Mytilus edulis: one gene and its partner. The protein of the gene in region 2 purifies or fractionates together with the protein of the main gene of each other region. This does not show direct contact. Links are inferred from orthologs where the notes say so. Each region holds a gene or a part of one and is shown on either strand. Other genes may lie near its edges. The genes, in order: formin-binding protein 1-like and cdc42 homolog.

Evidence for each region.
Region 1: the proteins of cdc42 homolog (region 2) and formin-binding protein 1-like purify together in Drosophila melanogaster (affinity purification with western blotting; 4 studies listed by BioGRID). This does not show direct contact. The link is inferred for Mytilus edulis from reciprocal best matches to the Drosophila melanogaster genes Cdc42 and Cip4.

What each region holds. Positions count from the first base shown.
Region 1 is NC_092345.1:44,049,917-44,060,953, reverse strand, and holds the start of formin-binding protein 1-like, read right to left. Parts: upstream 4,928-11,037; 5' UTR 4,812-4,927; coding exon 4,788-4,811; intron 1-4,787.
Region 2 is NC_092356.1:47,828,732-47,840,135, forward strand, and holds the start of cdc42 homolog, read left to right. Parts: upstream 1-6,672; 5' UTR 6,673-6,886; coding exon 6,887-6,893; exon of another isoform or gene 6,894-6,984; intron 6,985-7,096; exon of another isoform or gene 7,097-7,238; intron 7,239-10,308; coding exon 10,309-10,424; intron 10,425-11,294; coding exon 11,295-11,404. UniProt on the Drosophila melanogaster protein: Regulates mbt kinase activity and is also required to recruit mbt to adherens junctions. Together with mbt and Frl, regulates photoreceptor cell morphogenesis. Together with Frl, has a role in the neuronal development of mushroom bodies.

The DNA of each region.
Region 1 (11,037 bases), on a different chromosome or scaffold from region 2:
ATACCAACCTTCCTTTTGTAGTCATTAACATTGTGTTTAAATTTCATTGATTTCTATTTACTTAAACTAATGTTATTGTGCGAAAACCAAGAATAATGCTTATTTGGGCCCCTTTTTGGCCCCTAATTCCTAAACTGTTGAGACCAAAACTCCCAAAATCAATCCCAATCGTTCTTTTGTGGTCATAAACCTTGTGTCAAAATTTCATAGATTTCTATTAACTTAAACTAAAGTTATAGTGCGAAAACCAAGAAAATGCTTATTTGGGCCCTTTTTGGCCCCTAATTCCTAAAATGTTGGGACCAAAACTCCCAAAATCAATACCAACCTTCCTTTTGTGGTCATAAACCTTGTGTTAAAATTTCATAGATTTCCATTCACTTTTACTAAAGTTAGAGTGCGAAAACTAAAAGTATTCGGACGCCGGACGACGACGACGACGACGACGCAGACGCCAACGTGATAGCAATATACGACGAAAATTTTTTCAAAATTTGCGGTCGTATAAAAAATTAAGAAAAAATATGAATCCCTTAAAAAAATTGTACACAAAAAATCCCCGTCCCAACTTATTAAAACCTCCCTTGGAGCTATAACCCCAAAACTCAATCCCAGACTTCCCTTTGTTATATGCAACATTGTGGTACAATTTCAGAGAGATCCATACACTTACACACAAGTTTAACTATTATTATCTGGAAACTGCTTGTTTTTGGCCTTTAATTCCTAAACAGTTGGACCCATAAAAAAATGAATCCCAACCTTCAACTGGTGGTATTAAACCTTCTGAAAGAATTTCATGAAGATCTATAAAATTTTTTGCGGTTGTAAGAAAACAAGTAGTGCGCTTATCCTTCATTTGTCAGTTTAGTTTTTTCTGTTGTTGGGATGTACAAGTACCCAGCCACATCGACTCTGTTTTTGTTTAACTTATTTCTATTTGTATGCAGTGTTCTAGCTAATTTTCAAAGTTTGAACAGCGCGCAGCGCCTACCCTTTTATATTGACCCCTATTCCCTTCATGGTGACGCCTGCACCTTTTTCTCTGTCGTTTCGCAGGGGATTTATAGATCTCCTGCGATTTTAAAGTCCAGCAGAAAAGATTGTAACTTTAAGTCTTGAATATTATCACTCCATTTTAACTGAAACTTGATTTTACCATATAGCCCAAGTTATGTGGAGTATTTTGTTTGTAATATTATGTACATATATGCATTTTATGACATATGCTTATAAATTATGAGGCTTAGATATTTGCCTTTTTTTCAAAGACATTTATGCATAAAATTGCCATTTTTCACACTATAGTAAGCACCCTGTCAAATGCATTTTCTTAAAAAAAAATATTCTCAATCTATTGGTCTTTGAGAAAATGTAGTTTGTGCTGTATTTGGACCCTTCTTCAATGAAATTTGTTACATGCATACATATGAAAATTGCGGTTTTAATCCAACGCTGTCATAGGATTGAACGTTGTTTTCAATTTAGACTTGTTTATATTTATTTGGTTTGGGCTTGTATTATATTTTAAATTAATATAGAGATCCATTTTTTTTAGGTACAAAATGTATCAGGTCCGTTCGCACCCAATATACTTTCGCACCTCACATGTACGCCCCCTAATATTAGAATATCAGTTGAATTATTAGAATTTTGTTTTTAACAAATAATTTTATTTTCTTTTATTAAATTTGAGGAAGTATCATATAATTTTTTTTAATTTTAATTTGATGATTAATTATTAAATGTTAATTATGTATGATTACTGCTAATTGGTATACACAGCCTAATTTTGTGTTATTTTTTAGTGTTTTAAAAAAATCATGATTGTTGTTTTAAGTCTTTTAACTTGCTTTGATGTAAATAACTGCATAAATTTAGCTTGGTATGCCTAAAACTTTGAAGATCTTAAATAAAAAATATAATTGTTTTTAACAGCTTATGTGATCTCATGTGTGTTTGGACAATGGCTAAATATTTATAGCAATACACTCTCCAAAACTCGTAAATAATAAATAAGGCCGAGAAAAAAAAGATCGATGTTTCCGGTAAGGCCTAAATTAAAATATTGTTTGTTTGCCCTTTTCCGACCCTATGTTTTGAAACAGGGTAGGTAGGTAGGTAAAATATTTTATTTTTTCCCCCAAAAAAATAACTTGGCTCGGTATATTATTTGTCATGGGTAGGCAGGTAGGTATAATATTTTATTTTATATATACAAACTTTGCATAATGTAATTTGTGTCCGTTTGGTTTTTGCAAATAAGTTTTCTGGGACTATTAGTTTTAAAAAAAAATATCACGTAGAATGTGAAGCTAATTCATATGCACTACTATTTTGTTTTCAAATATCAAAATATAGAGCTGTGCCGCATATCTTCAACGTTTATATGCCTGGAACTTGGAAGAGTTTGAACTTGCACTTATATTCTGTACTATGTACCTTGTATGCTTACCTTAAGATTTTCTGTAAAAGATAACTTCGTATTGATAAGATATGTCCGGGCAGACATACATTACTAGTAGAAAAAGTCCCTAGAGTGTTAAAAATATCGTGTGTGCCTTTTGTTTCCAATAAAAATGCTACAAGACTTAAAACTCTGACAATTGTCACGACTCACGTATTTTACATCGCATTTATAAATGACCTGTATGGAAAACTTGGCGATTTTACTGCCAGATATTCCTCACTTTACAGGGTTTTGTCACTTTTGGTTCATGTCAGATATAAATAATATAGCGACATCGTTAACATAATCATCCTGATCTGCGGATCACAAAAGGCCATCCCTACAAAGAATACAACGTCCGTTTACAAATGAGTTTGTACACACGTTGATAATTTTGTATTAAACGAACTTTTTTGTAAATGAACCCTGCTCTTTAAATTAAGTATAAAGGTACAGAGTAGCGTACGTCATATCATGGAAGCGTTCACATGCTGAACATCGATTTCAAACAAATGCTTTGAAACTTCAATTGCAAGTGTTCATGTCAAACGCTCAGGTGATACTAAACGGACTTGACCTTATAACTTAAAGATAAAACCCGAGAAATCCGGGTAAAATAGTTTTGAGCGGGAAATACAAATACAATGTATAAGATTTTTGGTAGGAACGAAAAAATAAAATAAAATAAAATCTTGCTGGTAAATACAAATAAAAGATTTTCAGGCGCAACGAATTTATAGGGTCGGTCGGTAAAGGGCAAACAATCAATATTTTAATTTAAGCCTAACCCGACCGACCCTAACTTTTTTATTGGATCTTCAAAAAAAAATTTTAAAAAATTGTATCAACCGACCCCGTTTTTGACACAGGCTTCTGCATTTCTGATAGATGACATAATATTTTTTCTCTCTTGCTTCTACTTGCATAGAAAGCCAGTAAAACATTTTATTAATGTCAAAAGGTATTCCAAATAGGTTTAAATCCAAGAAATTTGCAGAGCAGGTGCTTCAAAAACATTGCAAATGGCACACTTCGGGTTTTTGAAACTAATTACGGATCCGGACTTGGAAAAACCATGATAATTTTCCGGATTTCATTTACGATGTCGGAAAAAAAAAAAAAGAAAAAAAAAAGAATTCTGACTTACCGACCCTATTTTTCAAAATGATGTTACCGGAAACACATATCTTTTTTTTTAAGGCCTAAATCAAATTTTGACTCGAGCATTATTATCTTTTTTACAAAAAAAAGATATGAAGATACAATGTTTGATTTGTATTTCATAGTATATGATAGTTTAAATAAAATAAAATTTGGGCGCGAATGTGTAGGGTGCGAACGGACCCGTTTTTTTTTTTTTACACCTTGTGATCAATTTATTTGGCAATCATCAATGGCAGTCAGCAGGGTTTAAGAATATCAGTTGTTCGACCTGCTAGTCAAATGCGTTTTGTTAAAATATTTTTTTCTTCATTCTTATGGTCTTTTGGAAAATGTTGATTGTGCTGTATTCAGATCCCTCTACAACGAAATTTCTTACATGCACACAAATAAAAATTGTGTTTTGTATCCAAATCAATCATAGGTTTGAACGTTGTTTACAATTTCAACTAGTTAATATGGCTAGTATATATAATAAACATCCTCCATCCCTTGCTATTATCCAAAATAAGGTTGATTTTCATCTCACGCAAAAGTGACTACAATGTATTTAAAGCCCTCAAATTCCTAAACCCTGCAATGTAATACTTTGTTAGAGTTATTATTGTTGACGGTCCAAGGAAACTTTATTGACAGTCAAATTTGACTTTATAGAAGGACCAATTTTACTTTTTAGTCCGTTTACTATGACTCAGTCTTATCCCACATTCATCATGTTCAATTAAAATGTTTATTATTTATTAAAAACCGATAATAAAAAACATATCATTGTCAAACAAAATAAAGATGTATTTATTTGGGGCAAAATAACTCAGCACAAATGGAAAGGGACAGAATTGAATTTGATGAACATAGAAATGATCAATCAGAGGGGGGCCAGAATTCTGACAGTTCACTCTAGAGACTATATTTTGCCTTTCATTTGTACATACATGTACATGACTTATTTCATTGTGTTCAAACTAATATGCAGTATCAAAAGCATGTCTATAACAAAGAATGTGGTGCTATAGTTTATCACACTATAGAGCCTTGTAAGCCAAGCTGACAACGATTTGAGTATCACACTAAATATTTTCCTTGAAACGACAACGGCTTCCTGTTATTTTGGTAAATTGTGGACGGTTTATGTAAATATATTGCAACTTTTGGCCGTTGCAACAATCTGGAAACTTACCCAAAGCTCAGTTCCCCAGCTCATGTCTGCATTAAGGAGCCCTTAGGGCAGTCAACATGTATAAAACGTTAAATATTTGACAATAACATTAGCCCAGCCTCTTATTACTTATCCAATATGGCGGATCTGACTCAATGAATAGGGATTATTATTTACATTAAGTTTCGTATACGGAATATTGTTATTGTTTTTTGGATTTTTTAGTGTTAAAAAATAGAAGAAATGATAAAATTGGGTTTAAATTAGGCTATCCCCGTTTTACAAACAGATTATTTACAGGATATTTGACAGACACAAAAAAATCAAGGGAGACAACTCCATTTATTTTTGTTTTATCTACATTTTTTTAATATGTAAATTAATAGTGTAGGAGTTTAATTAAGTTTTAGATTAACTTTATTATTTAGATTAGAAGTATTTATTTTTTTCGCATACTTCAAGTAAAGGTTTCAAACTTCATTGTTATAATCAGAGACATATAATAGATCATAATAGTGTACAAATACAAATATTTTATTAGCACAATCTGGGAACACAATAAACAATAAATTTAAGACTCATGGTAGTCTATATTAATTACATAGTTGATCATACATAATAAGTATTGCAAATAATGACTATATTAATTTGTAATAAATTTAAACAATGATTATATTCACAATTTTATAGAGTTTGTTCTGCTTTACGCAGGTTCAGACTGTCTGAAATGAAAGAGAAAGTCAATTTTAGGACTTTGTGTATGAATTATTATTTAATAAAAAGATAACAGAGCAGTAACGTTATCTCATTTCTGGGAATATTTAGATGTCTCCCTCTTTCACTCATCAGTATATGAGCGCTTATACGAATCTTACATATTGCAGCTCTGTCACTTCTGTTTTTCAATATACCAACGTAGGGTGGTCTCCTGCCTATTATGATTATATTATGTATAGACACTCTTGAAAAGGCCAGTCTAATTTTTTTATTCAAATATAAATAAATTTGGTGTATTTACTGTCTTCTGATTGGCTAAAAAAATTGGCTTTATTTTCAATGTTATCAATTTTTATGGAGACACGCCCACTCTAACGTTGTGTATTCATACGCAAACATCTGTGTACGTTGTTATTGGTATTAATATATATCTTTGAGCATTATTTTTGATAGAAATTTATTTATAATGAATGGCAGTAATTTATTTTGAATTTATTGAACCATAAAATTAATTTTTGACTGTTCACATTTAACATAATCCGCTTCGCGGATTATTCAATGTGAAGAGTCAAAAATTAATTTTATGGTTCAATAAATTCAAAATAAATAAAAGCCATTCATTAAATAGTTGCATTTTGAACTTGCAAACATTGGTCATTAATTTTTTGTTTAATGGAATTTAAATTACCTTTAACATAATTAAAGTTATTGATGATATAAGACATTCCAAGTCCATTCAAAGTGTATGTCCGAGTCTGCTGTATAAACCTTACCAGAATTGTTAAAATTATTAAAGTTAAAGTTTATACATATCATTTTGCAGAGGCATAAATGATAAATACATGTACATACGGAAATTTACGGAAAGAAAAATGGAGCGTGATATCTTTTTAAAAAAATAAGATTATAACTTTCTAAAAGGAAACTCTTTAGGACTTCTAAATGGTGTATTTCAACTGTGCTAAACTTATTTCAACATTAATGTTATTTGTCCCAGTTAATTGTGCGGATGTCAGATTTATGTAACATTTTTCACTATCTTCATAAGGAAAAATACGGATATTACATTCAAATTCTATTACAAGAAACTCTCAAGACATGCAACTTCTCAATTGTTCAATCCCTCTGATCTTCATTAATATCGATATACTGACCCTCTGCTGTTGTTTTTTATTTGGTCGGGTTGTTTTTTCTTTGACACATTCCCCATTTCCATTCTCAATTTTATTGTAATACATGTACATCCTGAATAAATCAATTGTTATTTTATTTTATCAAATTTAGAAAATTAACCATTCTAAAACGTTTTCCGTAAGAGCCTTATCTTTCATTCCTCTCTATCTGTATAGATGCACCATTGTCTCTATATCTTATCCCTTATGACCATGACATTTTTCTCAAATGTGTCGTTACTTTCTATTGGTTCCTTTTTTCAGTTAATAAATTTTCTCAGAATTTTCAGATAATCCCGGTTTATCTCAGATAAATTAGGATTAACTCAGCTTAATTGAAATTCGAGAAAATTCTAGCTTATCTGAGAAAATATAGAAAGTTCATTATCTGGAAAAAATCCCGGTTTATCTGAAAATTCTGAGATAAACCGGCATTATCTGAAAAAAATCGAGATAATCCCAGTTTATCTGAGCTTAATGTAAAAAAAGTGAGATAATCCTAGTTTATCTGAGAAAATCCTGGTTTATCTGAGATAATCTATGATTATCTATAAAAGTGGTTCAGGCGTGCCATATGTACACATATCATGTTTCTGATGTTTGTGTACTTTTCTATACAGTATGTGGACAAAAGTAAATCTTTCTTCTTACTGAACTGTATGTATTTTTAATAGTACTAAGAAACACATTTTCCAAAATTATTTTGCCGAAGCACTCGAGATCAGATTTTCATAAAATGTTCCCGGTTTATACATAAAAGAGGGACGAAAGATACCAAAGGGACAGTCAAACTCATAAATCGAAAATAAACTGACAACGCCATGGCTAAAAATGAAAAGGACAAACAGACAAACAATAGTACACATGACAAAACATAGAAAACAAAAGAATAAACAACATGAACCCCACCGAAAACTAGGGGTGATCTCAGGTGCTCCGGAAGGATAAGCAGATCCTGCTCCACATGTGGCACCCGTCGTGTTGCTAATGTGATAAACAAATCCGGTAAACAGTCCAATTTGGTAGGTCACACTCATGAAAGGGAAGGGGATTGTAGTTACGACGAAAGGAAATTAAAAAAGAGGGACGAAAGATACCAGAGGGACAGTCAAACTCATAAATCGAAAATAAACTGACAACGCCATGGCTAAAAATGAAAAGGACATAACATTTCATAGGAAGCTTCCATTTGATATTTATAAGGGGATAACAAGATGGACGAAAGATACCAGAGGGACAGTCAAACTCATAAATCGAAAATAAACTGACAACGCCATGGCTAAAAATGAAAAGGACATAACATTTCATAGGAAGCTTCCATTTGATTTTTATAAGGGGATAACAAATTTTGTCCAGTCTTTTTTTTTCAGTTGTAATCCATGTCCTGCCTATTTATTTTTCATTCTAGTCGGGCCTGCCTTAAAATTTTTTTGACTTTTTTTGTCATAAATTGTCATCCTGCTTTTTTATTTGCAAACAGTGTCTCATCCTGCATTTTTTTTACTCAAAACTCAGTAAAATGGTAGCTATAGCCTTCAATAGTATTTCAAAAAACAAAATCGTCGCAAATCATTTACAACCTTCTTTATAACTTATACATTGTATATGATACTAAACCCCTAACGGGAAGGATTGTGCCTGATGTTCATATGATGAAATCATAACCTTTCAGTCAGTTTAATTGAAGTCTGGAGCTGGCATGTCAGTTAAATGCTAGTAGTCTGTTGTTATTTATGTATTATTGTCATTTTGTTTATTTTCTTTGGTTGCATCTTCTGACATCAGACTCGGACTTCTCTTGAACTGAATTTTAATGTGCGTATTGTTATGCGTTTACTTTTCTACATTGGCTAGAGGTATAGGGGGAGGATTGAGATCTCGCAAACATGTTTAACCCCGCCGCATTTTTGCGCCTGTCCCAAGTCAGGAGCCTCTGGCCTTTGTTAGTCTTGTATTATTTTAATTTTAGTTTCTTGTGTACAATTTGGAAATTAGTATGGCGTTCATTATCACTGAACTAGTATATATTTGTTTAGGGGCCAGTTGAAGGACGCCTCCGGGTGCGGGAATTTCTCGCTACATTGAAGACCTGTTGGTGACCCTCTGCTGTTGTTTTTTATTTGGTCGGGTTGTTGTCTCTTTGACACATTCCCCATTTCCATTCTCAATTTTATCATAAATCGAAAATAAACTGACAACGCCATGGCTAAAAATGAAAAGGACATAACATTTCATAGGAAGCTTCCATTTGATTTTTATAAGGGGATAACAAATTTTGTCCTGTCTTTTTTTTCAGTTGTAATCCATGTCCTGCCTTTTTATTTTTCATTCTAGTCGGGCCTGCCTTAAAAATTTTGACTTTTTTTGTCATAAATTATCATCCTGCATTTTTTTTTGCAAACAGTGTCTCATCCTGCATTTTTTTAACTCAAAACTCAGTCCTGACTTGCCTTTTTTTTTTAAATTTCATTCTACCCCCTCTCCCCTAAATTTCAAATGGTAGCTATAGCCTGATAGTATTTCAAAAAACAAAATCGTCGCAAATCATTTACAACCTTCTTTATAACTTATACATTGTATATAATTGTTTTTACGACCGTACGAAGGCCGTCGTTATAAACTCCCATCATTATTGGTTTTATTGGTTTTGAATTCATGATCATGTTGAATGGTCTGGGAACTGAGGTACATGTTTAGTCCAAACTAGTTTTAAACATATTTATTTATAGTGGATTGGGAAACAAGTTTTGCAACTTATATTAATTCCTTTCCACTTTGCGGGTGCGAGTGCTGCCTTGTAGCGGCATTAGCCTACTCTTTTTCGAAATCTACAAGGGTGTCTTTAAAGTGCAAGAGATATGGCTCTCTCTTAACACGGGTCAGCCATTTATCGTCTCCTTCCGACGGACTATCATCGTTTCCTCAAGACCATACTCGCAGATGGTGTCAAGGGAGAGCCGAAAATTGAGTTCCTGAAATTTTCATCCCAAACGGGAATCGAACCCGGAACCTTTGTGTTAGTAGTCCGATGCACTAACCACTACACCACGGCTCTCCAAATTAGAAAAGCAATCACCCTTTAAGGTAAGTGTTTTTGCCAAATTCCTTATAAACACTGGTAATATCGAAGTCCTTGAATGCTCCATTTCTCAGTTAACATTTGGATTTCAAGATAAAGATGTACTTAATGAAGAAATTATGATATATTGTTTTCAGGCTGTTTTTGGTTCCATTTACTTAGTTATTTAGATAGCGCTTTTACATTTGACATTCATCGTCTCCGTTAAAAAAAAAACTAGATCAAGCTGTGGTCTGCATCCCCAAATCTCCAGGAGAATTGCTACTGCTACACAATGATATAAATTTTAAAAATGATTTTTAAGACAACTTAGATTCAAAATAATAGTGTGTAGAATGAAGCAAAGAAAAGGAAGGATATTGTTCGATTGATAGATTCTTTTTTGTTTACGTTCAGTGGCAAATAGTTCATGCTTATTTAGGACACGACAATGATATTAAATAAAATAGGTAAGCTCTGCAATGGATTGGTCGGATAAACGATAAGAACTTTCACTTCCGCTTAATTTTAGTCACAATTTGTAAAAGTAAACTATTGCTAATTATTGAAGGCCGTACGGTGACCTATAGTTGTTAATGTCTGTGTTATTTTGGTCTCTTGTGGACAGTTCTCTCATTGGCAATCATACCACATCTTCTTTTTTATATATTATAGGTCAAAGCACGGTCTTTAAAACGAAGCGGCTTGGCTCACACCAAACAATTAACAAGCTATAAAGGGTCATAAAAATTACTAGTGTGAAACAATTCAAACAGGAAAACCAACAGTATAATCTATATAAAAAACGAGAAACGACACACTCTCGTGATCACATCAACGAACAACAGCAACTGAACATCAGGTTTCTGACTTTGGACAGGCACAAATAAATGCAGCGAATTTTTTAATAGGTGCCAACATCCACCCTACCGCTGAAACAATAGTGTAACAACCCAAAATAAAAAAAACACTATAAAATATTAATTGAAATGACTTACTAGTAACTCCATCAAATAAACATACTAACAAAAACAAGTGAACATACACTGAACGAATAAATTTGTTCGATGGCACAATGTTAATACAAAATTATTTAACAAAAATTGGGGTTAGATGTAAAACAATATAAAAAAAAACAATCATAAGCTTTCAAAAGATGCCGCCAAATAAAATAATGTACCCTTTAAACGTGGTCTTTACAAAAAATGGTTTACTAATGTTAGAATTTAAAAAAAATCAATGAAGAAGAGATAAATCAAGATATACATTTCAAAGTACAGAATCAGAACTGAATAAAACTATTGGATATACGTGTACTATAGGT
Region 2 (11,404 bases):
AATCGGAAGGTTTTTTTTTTGTTTTTTTTTTTTGTGAAACTGACTCCTGAACTGCCGTGAATTTATACATCCAACAAAATTTTTTTTTAAGAAAGGTATCTATTAGACCATATTTCTACTCTCCTATTGAAAATTACGGATTAGAATTGCATTTTCAAAAATGGCACAATTCTTATTCCATCACTTTCATTTCCTGTTTTCCCCAAAATAAAACACAAAATAAAGACTTAGTAGAAATTACTATTCAAGGGCAGTAACTCCTATAGATTAAGGTTACTAACAATTTCTATCTTGTTGACCAATTTGTAGACACTGTCTTGAAGAACAATCAAAATTTATTTTTGTCTAAACAACAAAAAATGGTAAGCATTCGTAATTTGAAGGCTATGTTGATTTAATTTTTTTTGGTGGGGGGATCTTAATAGAAAAAACAAGGATATACAGCAAACAAAAAAACACAAAGGCTTTTATTGCTGATCTTCATCTCAAAATCATAGCGAGACCTTCAACACGGAGCATAAACAACACTCACCTCACTGCAAGATTGCAACGGCCGCTATATATAGCAACGGCATGAGTAGAATCCCTAGCAAAAATAATTTGTATATAGACTTTGTAAAATGAAACATCACTGAATCGGGCCCATTAGAAAAATAACATACTGCAAAAGAAATACATATCTATACAACACAATAGTTACTACGCATAGGTGTAAATCTGTTGAAAATATTTTAGTCATTACGGTATTTTTGTCTTGTCTTGCTATTTCTTGTTGTTCTCGTTGTTTTTTTTTTATTTCTATAGTTTCGCAAAAGATGGACACACATCATCATTACAGGGGTTACTTCTTTTTAGGACCGACACATAATTGGCTATGTTAACCTATAAGAGATCTTGTCTTGTAGAGTCTAAAAAATGTTAGTACGTAAATTTTTCATAGGATTTTGGGGTATAAGTGGTAAGGGAATTTGTGCAAGACTTACATAACTTGCATAACGATCATCTCAATGGTTTACTGGGGCAAAAAACAGGATTTTCCCATCGCCCCTTCGGCAGTTAAACCCTTCCTACAGTCTGTTAATTGTGTGCACTTGGTGGGTTAAAGCGCAGTCATGTCCGGTCAATAAATCCTATGCCTACCAAAGGGTAGGGTGTCAAGATCTCCGTATGTTTAAAATCCCTTGCAATAATCATACGAAGCGTCCGAAGGTAGCCTATTGCAAGGCAAACATTTGGCTTTATCCAACATACCCTTAATTCCAAGTTTATGGCAATCCAAATCTATATATAGCCCTTTATCCCGGTTTTTTTATTTTATTTGTAAATATCTGAACATGCTTGAAATAACTGCTACTGGACAATAGCCAAGCAGTAAGACAAAAAGACTATGGTCATGTTTTTCTCTGGCTGTTTATGATGTCTTTACAAATTACACTAAATCCATTGGATGTTGGATGTGTACGGATTGATAGTTTAGTCTTAGATGCATGATTTTTTTATTAGTTGTTAGTGGCTTTGAACTAGATGTCAGATAACTGCGAGTACTCTCAGATCTGTTCATTGTGTCTTTTTGTGTCGGGATGTATAAGTACCCGGCCACGTCCACTTATATTTTTGTCCATCTGATGAGTTAAGCCTTTTTCAACTGATTTTTATAGTTCGTTCTTATGTTGTACTGTTATACCACTGTCCCAGGTTAGGGGGAGGGTTGGGATCCCGCTAACATGTTTAACCCCGCCACATTATTTATGTATGTGCCTGTCCCAAGTCATGAGCCTGTATATTCAGTGGGTGTCGTTTGTTTATGTGTTACATATTTGTTTTTCGTTAATTTTTTTACATAAATAAGGCCGTTAGTTTTCTCGTTTGAATTGTTTTACATTGTCTTATCGGGGCCTTTTACAGCTGACTATGCGGTATGTGCTTTGCTCATTGTTGAAGGCCGTACGGTGACCTATAGTTGTTAATGTCTGTGTCATTTTGGTCTTTTGTGGATAGTTGTCTCATTGGCAATCATACCACATCTTCTTTTTTTTAGTCCTATGCTGACCGTGTTTATCTGCAGAATTCAGATTCCTGCAAGATACAGCATTGAACAAAGGCGGTCAATTGATTATTCACTTCAATTGTTAATTATCTAGGTATCCTTTCTGTTATTTTTGTAATTGTTGCGTTTTAGTGGTTTCATTGGCTTACATTTTTCCATCTATCCATAAAAAAAATGTACTTGTCTTACATTCAACGGGAGATAACTAAAAAAACAATGAAAATACTTATGGTGAACTGATATGATGCACTTCACTTCATCAGAGACCTATACTACAAATAATTTGTATTTCTATGTCCCTGACTTCATGATGGATATAATTGAAAAACAAAACAACGCCAATGCTTTTGTACACAATAGCTTACATAATGTTTTGTGAGCTTGTTTTATTTGCTTAGCAACTGTTTAATTTACGTTATGCGGTCTTGAGTTGTGATGAATAATTTAAGAAAGAAAAAACATACTACATCATTTTACAACATTGTTTGGAGTAAATTCTAGAGAATTTAACCGAGAGATTACGGATGACTATCTTTCATACTTTCTTGTCCTATTTCCGATATGAGCGGGCGCATTTACGAAATATTTTGCCTATTAGAAAATTTGCGTTTACTTGTATGTGAAGAGACAAGCATGCGCAATTATGATACTTAGTTCGTGGCATGTCTCCAGAACGTGCGGTAATCGTTTGTCTTCCTGTACATGTACCTTCAATTATTTAAAGGAGTTGTCATTTTTATCAATATAAGATTTTGAGAACACTAAAACACACCGCGAAATCGCTGGCATTTCAAGCTTTTAAGCTGTTGTAGGATGATTTATTGTAAAAGATTTTATGTCTGGAGAAAAGGTATCAAAAGCCCTCTCCATTTTTGCCAAAGTCCGTTATTTGTTTCCTTTTATGTTAAATTTCATTATTTTCGAGTATCTGACACTAGACCACAATTACTCTTCCCCTTTGCTACAATGCATTTCTTGGTAAAAGTCAAATTAAATTTTAAAAAAATACACCGCTTCAAACATGAAATAAATGTAACTGCTTATAGACCATTATTATTCTCATAAAATATGCTTCTAGGACAATCCATTAGTGCTTTTTCTTTTGAAGTAGCATGATACATTTCCAATATTCAGTTTCATGGTCTTGTTTGTAAAAAGGCAGAAGGTACCAAAACGGATAGTCAATTTCAGTATTAAAAAACACACTGACAACGTCATAGCAAAAAATAACCAATAACCAATAAAAAATGTATTGGTAAATCGTTTAAATGATTTTAGAACTATTCAATCTGAAGTGTCACTTTCACATTCTTTGAATCATTCGTATACCCCATCCAACGATGGAAACTCTTTTCTAATTATGTTTACTACACAAGCCGGTATGATTATTCTATGTTTCTTGCCAAGTGGTTGACCTTTCCTGACCCAGCACACAAACTGACGATAAGCCACAAGCCTGCTTTGTCTGTTAGTAAGTACGTCTGGAGCTCTCCCTCCCTTTCAGTAAGACAAAGTTGACCTTTAAATTTTCTGTCAACATTTTTGATATTTTCGTTCAAATAGCTGAAGAATTAGTACGTGGTGAAAGGACATTACTTCCTGAATATTAAAAAAAAAAAAAAAAAGAAGATCGCCTTATATAACTGCAATTGGTAATTATACTATCTATTTCAAAAATTCAAGGTCACCGATTCTTATTTAGAATTTTTACATCATTATTCATAAATTTATTCAATTAAATTAATTCAGTATTCCTTGTTTTTAACAAAAAATATTCAGCGTCAATAATATATTTAATTAAACTGAGCTCATGGAAAATATTAAGATTCCCCCGTTTATCATTCATACGAAATGTTCACACCTAGAAAAGTGAACCGTGACGGCTTAAATTCACTGAGTAAAGATCAAAAGATACAAAATGCTAATCTTTTAATTAACTTGAATTTAACCACGCATTCAACAGGTAGTCACTATGTGTCAAAGTACAATACACATTGTATTTGCGGGGCCGTATTTGCACACTACAAATGTACTAGCAGCACATATTTACTAGCCTGACGTAAAAGGTAAAAAGTACAAACATGCATTTTTAAAACACTACCAGTTATACATGTAAGTTCAAAATATCCGTCGGAAAAAAAAATCATAAAAAAATATTTTATATATATGATTTACTTGTATCACTATAAACATTTCAGAAAATATTAAAATATAAATCGTACATTCTACTTTCAAAATGAGCGCTGTTCCATCTTAATTATTAGTTGGTTAATAGCCACACCAAACGTCGTCTATGCGCTTTAAATAGCGTTATAAGATGATTAACGATTAAGATTTAAAATGAGATTATTTCCACTCCCGGCATGCTTAAAGACATAAACTACGTCACATAAGTCAGGAAGTTCGAAGAAATAAAATTAATAATTCTTAATTTTCTCCTTTATTGCTGTTCATATCCAGATAAAACTTGGTGAATATGTTTTTTATTGTATTATGGACATAATTAGCTGATAAGTAAAAATTCGCGAATTATCCCTTTAAGCAGACAACATTATGTAATACAGGGGCGGGTCCAGCCATTTTAAAAAGGGGGTTCCCCAGTAACCAAAGACAAGGGGGGCAACTACATTCAAATGCATTGACAATCTCCCATACAGACAGGAGGAGGAGGAAAGGACGATAACTCTGTCTGTATGGGAGATTGATGCATTGAGCGTCCAAAAAAAAGGGGGGTTCCGACCCCACCCCCTGGATCCGCCATTGTAATAGATTGAGTGTTTGATGCAATGAAAATCAGATCCGCTGTTAGTTTTAACTACGATACTCTCCACCCTAACCTTAGAGGAGCGTACGTAGCCTAACAACATTGGATAGTTTTGATATTTCCAAATTTGATAAAAAAAATAAAAAATAATAAAAAAAAAAAAAAAGCTGTATTACGAAACTGAACTGCTAGCGCTGTGAAGCATGCATAATTGTTTACGCTTGTAACCTTTGATCTGCATACTATTACTATACTAATATGCATTTCGGGCAAGATTAAATCATATTTTTTCATCCGAGCAGTCTAATTATACCTAAAACGACCCCAAAGATTTGGTCGCTCACCTGGCAGCTTCCTACACACTACAATGCATACCACGAATGATCTAGTGGTTATGAATGACCGAAGGGTTTCCTTTTAGTATTCATTCTCATAGTATCTATATATATGCTCCTTGATTAGCAGCTGTGCTCGGAAACAAAAGTCTTGCAACCATTTGAACCTGATGAACGGTCAAACTACCTTTTGACTAGCTAACGTAACTTGTAAAGATTCAAAGCGATTCTGAGTTTGCATGGTATAATTTTAGGGTTTGTGCCCGTTCATTATTGAAAACGTAATGACAACCTTCAATAGTCTCTTTTGTTTTATCCGTGTTATGTGGTTGCTGTCTTATTGATGCCAATTATATCTCAATCATAGACACATTAATATGTATATGAGAGTCCGAATCCCTCCGAAACTTAGGCCCATCCGAAACTTAGGACCCTACTAAACATTTGACAGTGGTTAACAGCAGAACATTAGAAACAACTAAACATAGGTTGAATAGGCTTTGACTCATCGAAAATCAGATAAAGCATTAACTCATTGAAAATCAGATAAAGCATTAACTCATTGAAAATCGAATAACTATAGCAACTACAAAAAAAAGTCCCAGAGTTCTAATCTAAGACTACTCGCAGTTACTGAGGGCTAGTTGAAATCCCGATTTCCACTAATAAATGCAGAAGATTTCGGGCATGTCAATCTGCATGTACACCCATAAGGGTTTAATTATATAAATTTGATTTTTTTTAAAAAGAAGACATCATTCAACTGCATGTATACATGACCTTGTCATATGGCGAAAGATAAGCGAATATTTATACAGAATGTATGATTTATTATTTTTATTTAGGCCATCGTTGATAATTAAATACACATGAGTAGACAAAAAATACGGCGGAAAATTATCCGGTCACTGAATATTTAAAAAAATATGTCTATACAATTAACTAACAAACAAACAAATACGCTATAACTGTGTCCATATGATTTTCTGATTGATTAGTTAATAATTAATCACAGAACACAGGGGCGGATCCAGAACCTCGATTCCTGGGGGGGGGGGCACCAAAACCAAAATTTATATATTTTTTGAGATGTATACATGTATATATGCGAGTGTGGGTGGGTTTATTTTGTTGTTTTTTGTTGTTGTTGTGTTGGGTTTTTTTTTAGGGGGGTCACATCATCGTAACTATTTCACTTTATACTTTATTTTCCTGTCAATTGATCTTTTTTATATTCGTCCTAAACAAGCATCAAATATTTGCCACTGGACTTTAGACAACCAACAATCAATCAATATTTTGATTATGTATATATTTCATCACCTCTACCTTCTTTTATCTATACTTTTTGGCCTCCCTTCCAGGCTTACTTTTTTGCACAGAATTCTTATCTCTGTAAAACACCTTCATATCCTTTAATATATATCATGTATATAGTTAACCTATTCATTCAACAATTGACTTAAAAAGATAATAAAACGGTTTAATCACTGACTGTATAGATCGATCTATACTGAAAAAAATAGTCTATATCAAAACTCTTATTCTATTTTCTCGTTTTATCCAAGAATAGAACCATAAAAATAGGCCAGAAATTTGATTCGTCGTTATATTTGGATTTAAACTTGGGACATATATCAGCTGAATTTGTGTATTGCCGATCATTTGAATGTTGACAGGTGCTACGTTACTAGTGTATTTATTGGAGCTATTTTAAGAAGAAAATCACGTCATAGACGCATGCGCTGTAAGTTTTTCCGGTTAAAATTGGATTAACTGAACACCCCGGAAATTAGTATTGTAGGTATTATTTGAATGATTATCAACAAAAGATCTAAGTATGAAGTTAGATAGTTTTTGAGGCATCAATCCAAAGGACTCTTTTGGGATTTATCTGTCCCATTTAACTCTGAGATTCTTTATCCAATGAATTCTTGCTCGGAGTCTGTCAAAAATAATGGCGGCATGGCTTCCGGTGCCTGTAAATGTTAATGTTCTCCTCTTTAATCCTCGTAATTCTAACTTATAACGTTTCATTTGAAAGAAGTTTTTCCCTTGAACAGTTATCAAAGTAAACTGTGCATTTTATTTGGTAAATAAATGAATGAAAACACAGACTTTTTCAAACCAAAAAGGGGGCTTGGGAGTGCCTTGTTTATCATGTATCTCTGTACAGGCATTACAGTGTACTGTGTCTCTATAATAAATAAAAAAAAAGCCTGTTAAAGTTCATCCTATTTGCTGTTTTAAATTGTGTACACTTAAAACTTAACGTAACTGAACATCTTGTTTTGTAAACAATAAAAAAAAAATTTTAAAAATCAATCATCAGGGTTCAGGGGTGTGAAAATACTATCAGACTCCTACATTTGAACAACTGGACAAGTAATTATGTTTGTCTGGGTTGCCCGTCGACAAGTAAAAAAATATACATTTGTACAAGACAAAGTTCAAATCCAACAAAAATAGTCAAAACGTATACAAATGGTATAAAGATGTTTAATTTATGTTAAAGAAACCAATGATCAGCAAGTAAAAATATATATTTTAGTCAAAACATCAATGTTCATGATGATAGCTATTAAATAACATCGGAAATAGGTTGATTCCGAAAATGAATAAAAATAAGTACATTTGTATGAGAACCAGAGTCGCATATAACATTGTTTTGGCTTTGTCTATTGACCAGGGACAGTCAATTACGTTTTATATCCGGTATCAGGTCCGTTTACGCCTAATACACTTTCCCACCCTACACGTTCGCACCCAAGGTCTGTTGGCTCCCTACACGTTCACACAAAATTTAAAATCAAATTCCAGTTTAATAATTAGAAAATTATGATTGTTAATTGTTTTAAATTGCTGTGATATAAATACTGCATGTATTTAGCTTGGTATGAGTAAAACATTGAAGATTTTAAATGAAAACCACAAAAGATAAGTGTTTTTAACTCAACTGCTTGGCTCATTGATCTGAAAGTTCCAACAATAATTTAAAACAATAAATTATAGCATTTTACTAACCAAAACATGATTAAGATTCATTCAACACAAAAGTTGATAGAATCTCACTTTATTTAGAAACAATAATTTTTTTTTCAACAATTCACTATCCAAAACATGATTAAGATTTATTCAACATGGAAAAAAACCATTGTCTCACTTTATTTTGAGACAATGACAACTTATATACAGTACTTATAGGAATGCACTTGCCAAAACTTGATTACAAAGTTATTACATTTGTACATACATGTACAAAACTAATAAAAATCAGGCGAGAACTGACCCGGATTCGTTTTATCTATCATTCACCCGATGTGTCATTTCTTTAGATTTTGAATGTAGATTCAGATTGATAAATACTTAATAAAACATAAGGCAAGCAAGACAAAAAGAACGACGAGTCAAGTAGAAAACATGAGATGCAAACAAAGAACAAGGGTTTAAAAAATAAATATGGCAGCGAGAATTTCAGACATGGTGAATATCAGATTGTCCCCTGGAAGGAAATTCAGAAAATAAATTATTTTTCTGTCTTATTTATCATGTTTATAGATCAAAAGTAGTCAACCTTATTTGTCTAAGTTTTAAATATAAGGGACACTTTAATTGCCCATCAACTACATGTACATTTATATGTCATATGAAAAAAAAGTGTGTCAGTTGAGAGAAACAATGAGTTAATTTTTAATTATTTTGTTTTCATTTCTTCACTCACCATTGCTCACTGTCCTCCAAATTAAGTATATGCTGGTTACAATTGTAGCTTGATTTTGCTGTACAAATTTAATCAGGCTAAACAAAAAAAAGTGTGAAACATGCACAAGAACAAAAATTATAAATTAAAAACTAATTTTAAAAGTACAAAATGTATGTAACCAGGGTGAAATTATATATAATTATATATACCAGCTAGTTGGACAAACACAAAAAACTTATTTTAATCAATTTTGAAGATGCTTTAAGCCTTTTAAAGCGAAATAAATAATGTGGTATGAGCATGATAACAGATAAGCATATTACGATCTCAAAAGGTTGCCAAATGTGACTTTTTAGAAGTTTTGCTGATTGTGTGCCAAGTTCTGTGGATAGGTGTAAAAAACAACATTTTGATATTGGATAGAATTTACTTAATTTTAAAATGGATGTTTGATTTTTGATATTCATATACATTGTATACTGTCGATGATCAGATAAAGGTAAAGTGGGGAAAAACAACGACAAATGATTAAAAATGGAAAATTAAAAGTTCAGTTACAATGACTGAATGTACATATAATACATGAGAACCCAAGTTATGTGTCATAACTTTAGTCAACATACACAAGTCTTGGTTCAATCATTTTCAGATTCATACACCAAAATATAAAATACTTACTAACTGTCATTCATTTAAAAAAAAAACCTACAGTGTAAGTAAGAAGATGTGGAATGAGTGCCAATGAGACAACTGTCAATCCAAGTCACATTGACACAATGCATACATGTAGTAAAAGTTACAAATTATCATGATTATAGGTCAAAGTAGGTACATGTATGCTTTGGTTATTTATAGATTGTTGCTTATTGTCAGAAATAACATGAATAAGAGGACATAAAAAAGTCATAAATGTATGAAAATGATTCTAAGGAAGAAATGTGGTAAAAGTCATATAAACCAAGTGTGGTAAAACATTGCATATTTTAATTGTTTATACACATGTTACAGCCATGACAGCATGTGCAATAGGGAAGTAAATTCCAGGGTAACTAAAGCTAAATTTGACAATTACTACAACTCAACAAATGCTTCTATTTAATTATTATGATTATTTAAGAATTAACAAACATTGGAAGGTAAAACTATAAAAAGACAACAACATCCTGGATTACTACAAGGAAATGCTTTTTTCTGGTCTACATGTTTCAACACTTACAATGTATGGTGGTGTCTTCAGATACAATTTAACATGGATTGGGTTTTAAACCTAGTCATTCTTTAAGACTTGTCTACAGTACATGTTTAGCCACTTATGGTACAATGTAGCTTCTTCAAATACATGGGTAGGATTTAAAACCTAGTCATTCCTTTAAGCATACATTTAATGATTAAAATCTATATACCAAAAAAATATAGAAGACTTTGCTCTAGTTAATATTGTTTATTATTCTTTTTTCAGATATTTCCACCATGCAGACAATCAAGTGTGTGGTTGTGGGAGACGGTGCTGTAGGAAAGACATGTTTATTAATATCTTATACAACTAATAAATTCCCTTCAGAATATGTACCAACAGTAAGTTTATACATTCAAAACATTTTATTTCACATTTGCAGAGCAAAATGGTATTACTTAACCTTTTAATTTGTGGTGAGAGTCCCAAATTTGCTTTGTGTACAACTAGTTAAATTTTGTGTACAATGCCAATGGGACAAAAATGCTGACAATGCAAGAAAGTCAACATGATGTTGTGAATATTGTGAATCAAAATTCTATAAAACTATAACACATTTACATGATTTATAAACATTGATAAAAGTAAAAATCAATTTAGTGTCTCTTTCAATTTTATACAATACACAGATTTTTCTGCAGCTAAAACTAATGATTTATAATTTGGCATACTGTAAAAAAAATTCAATTGATTGTTATTTTGGGTGTAATTCTGCTGAGAATGACCAATATATGTCGAGTGGTCTAGCGCGCCAGATACAGCGCAGGCGATTTGGTGTCACGTTATCTCAGTAGCATGAGTTCAAATCCTGGCGAGGGAAGAACAAAACATTTGTAAAAGCAAATTTACAGATCTAACATTGTTGGGTTGATTTTTAGACAAGTTATATATATAAATATATATATATAAATTAAAAGATACAGAGTGTAAATCTTAAACAGTTTGTGGATAAATATATATATTATTAAAACTATTTTTTTGCAATATTTCTGTGTACATGTACATGTATGAACATATACATGTAGATCAATAGAGAGAGATCTAGAGAGAGAAAACAATTTCTTATACTCTTGTCAACATAGATTTATATTATGTTTGACAATCACATGCTTTAGTCATTGCAAACTCACCCATCATTCATTATTATTACTCTAAAGTTCCTTCTGAAACCAATGAAACTTGTTTTGCTAACCCACTTGTATTTTTTGCAGGTATTTGATAATTATGCAGTAACTGTTATGATAGGTGGAGAACCCTATACCTTAGGTTTATTTGATACAGCCGGACAAGAAGATTACGACAGATTACGTCCATTGAGTTA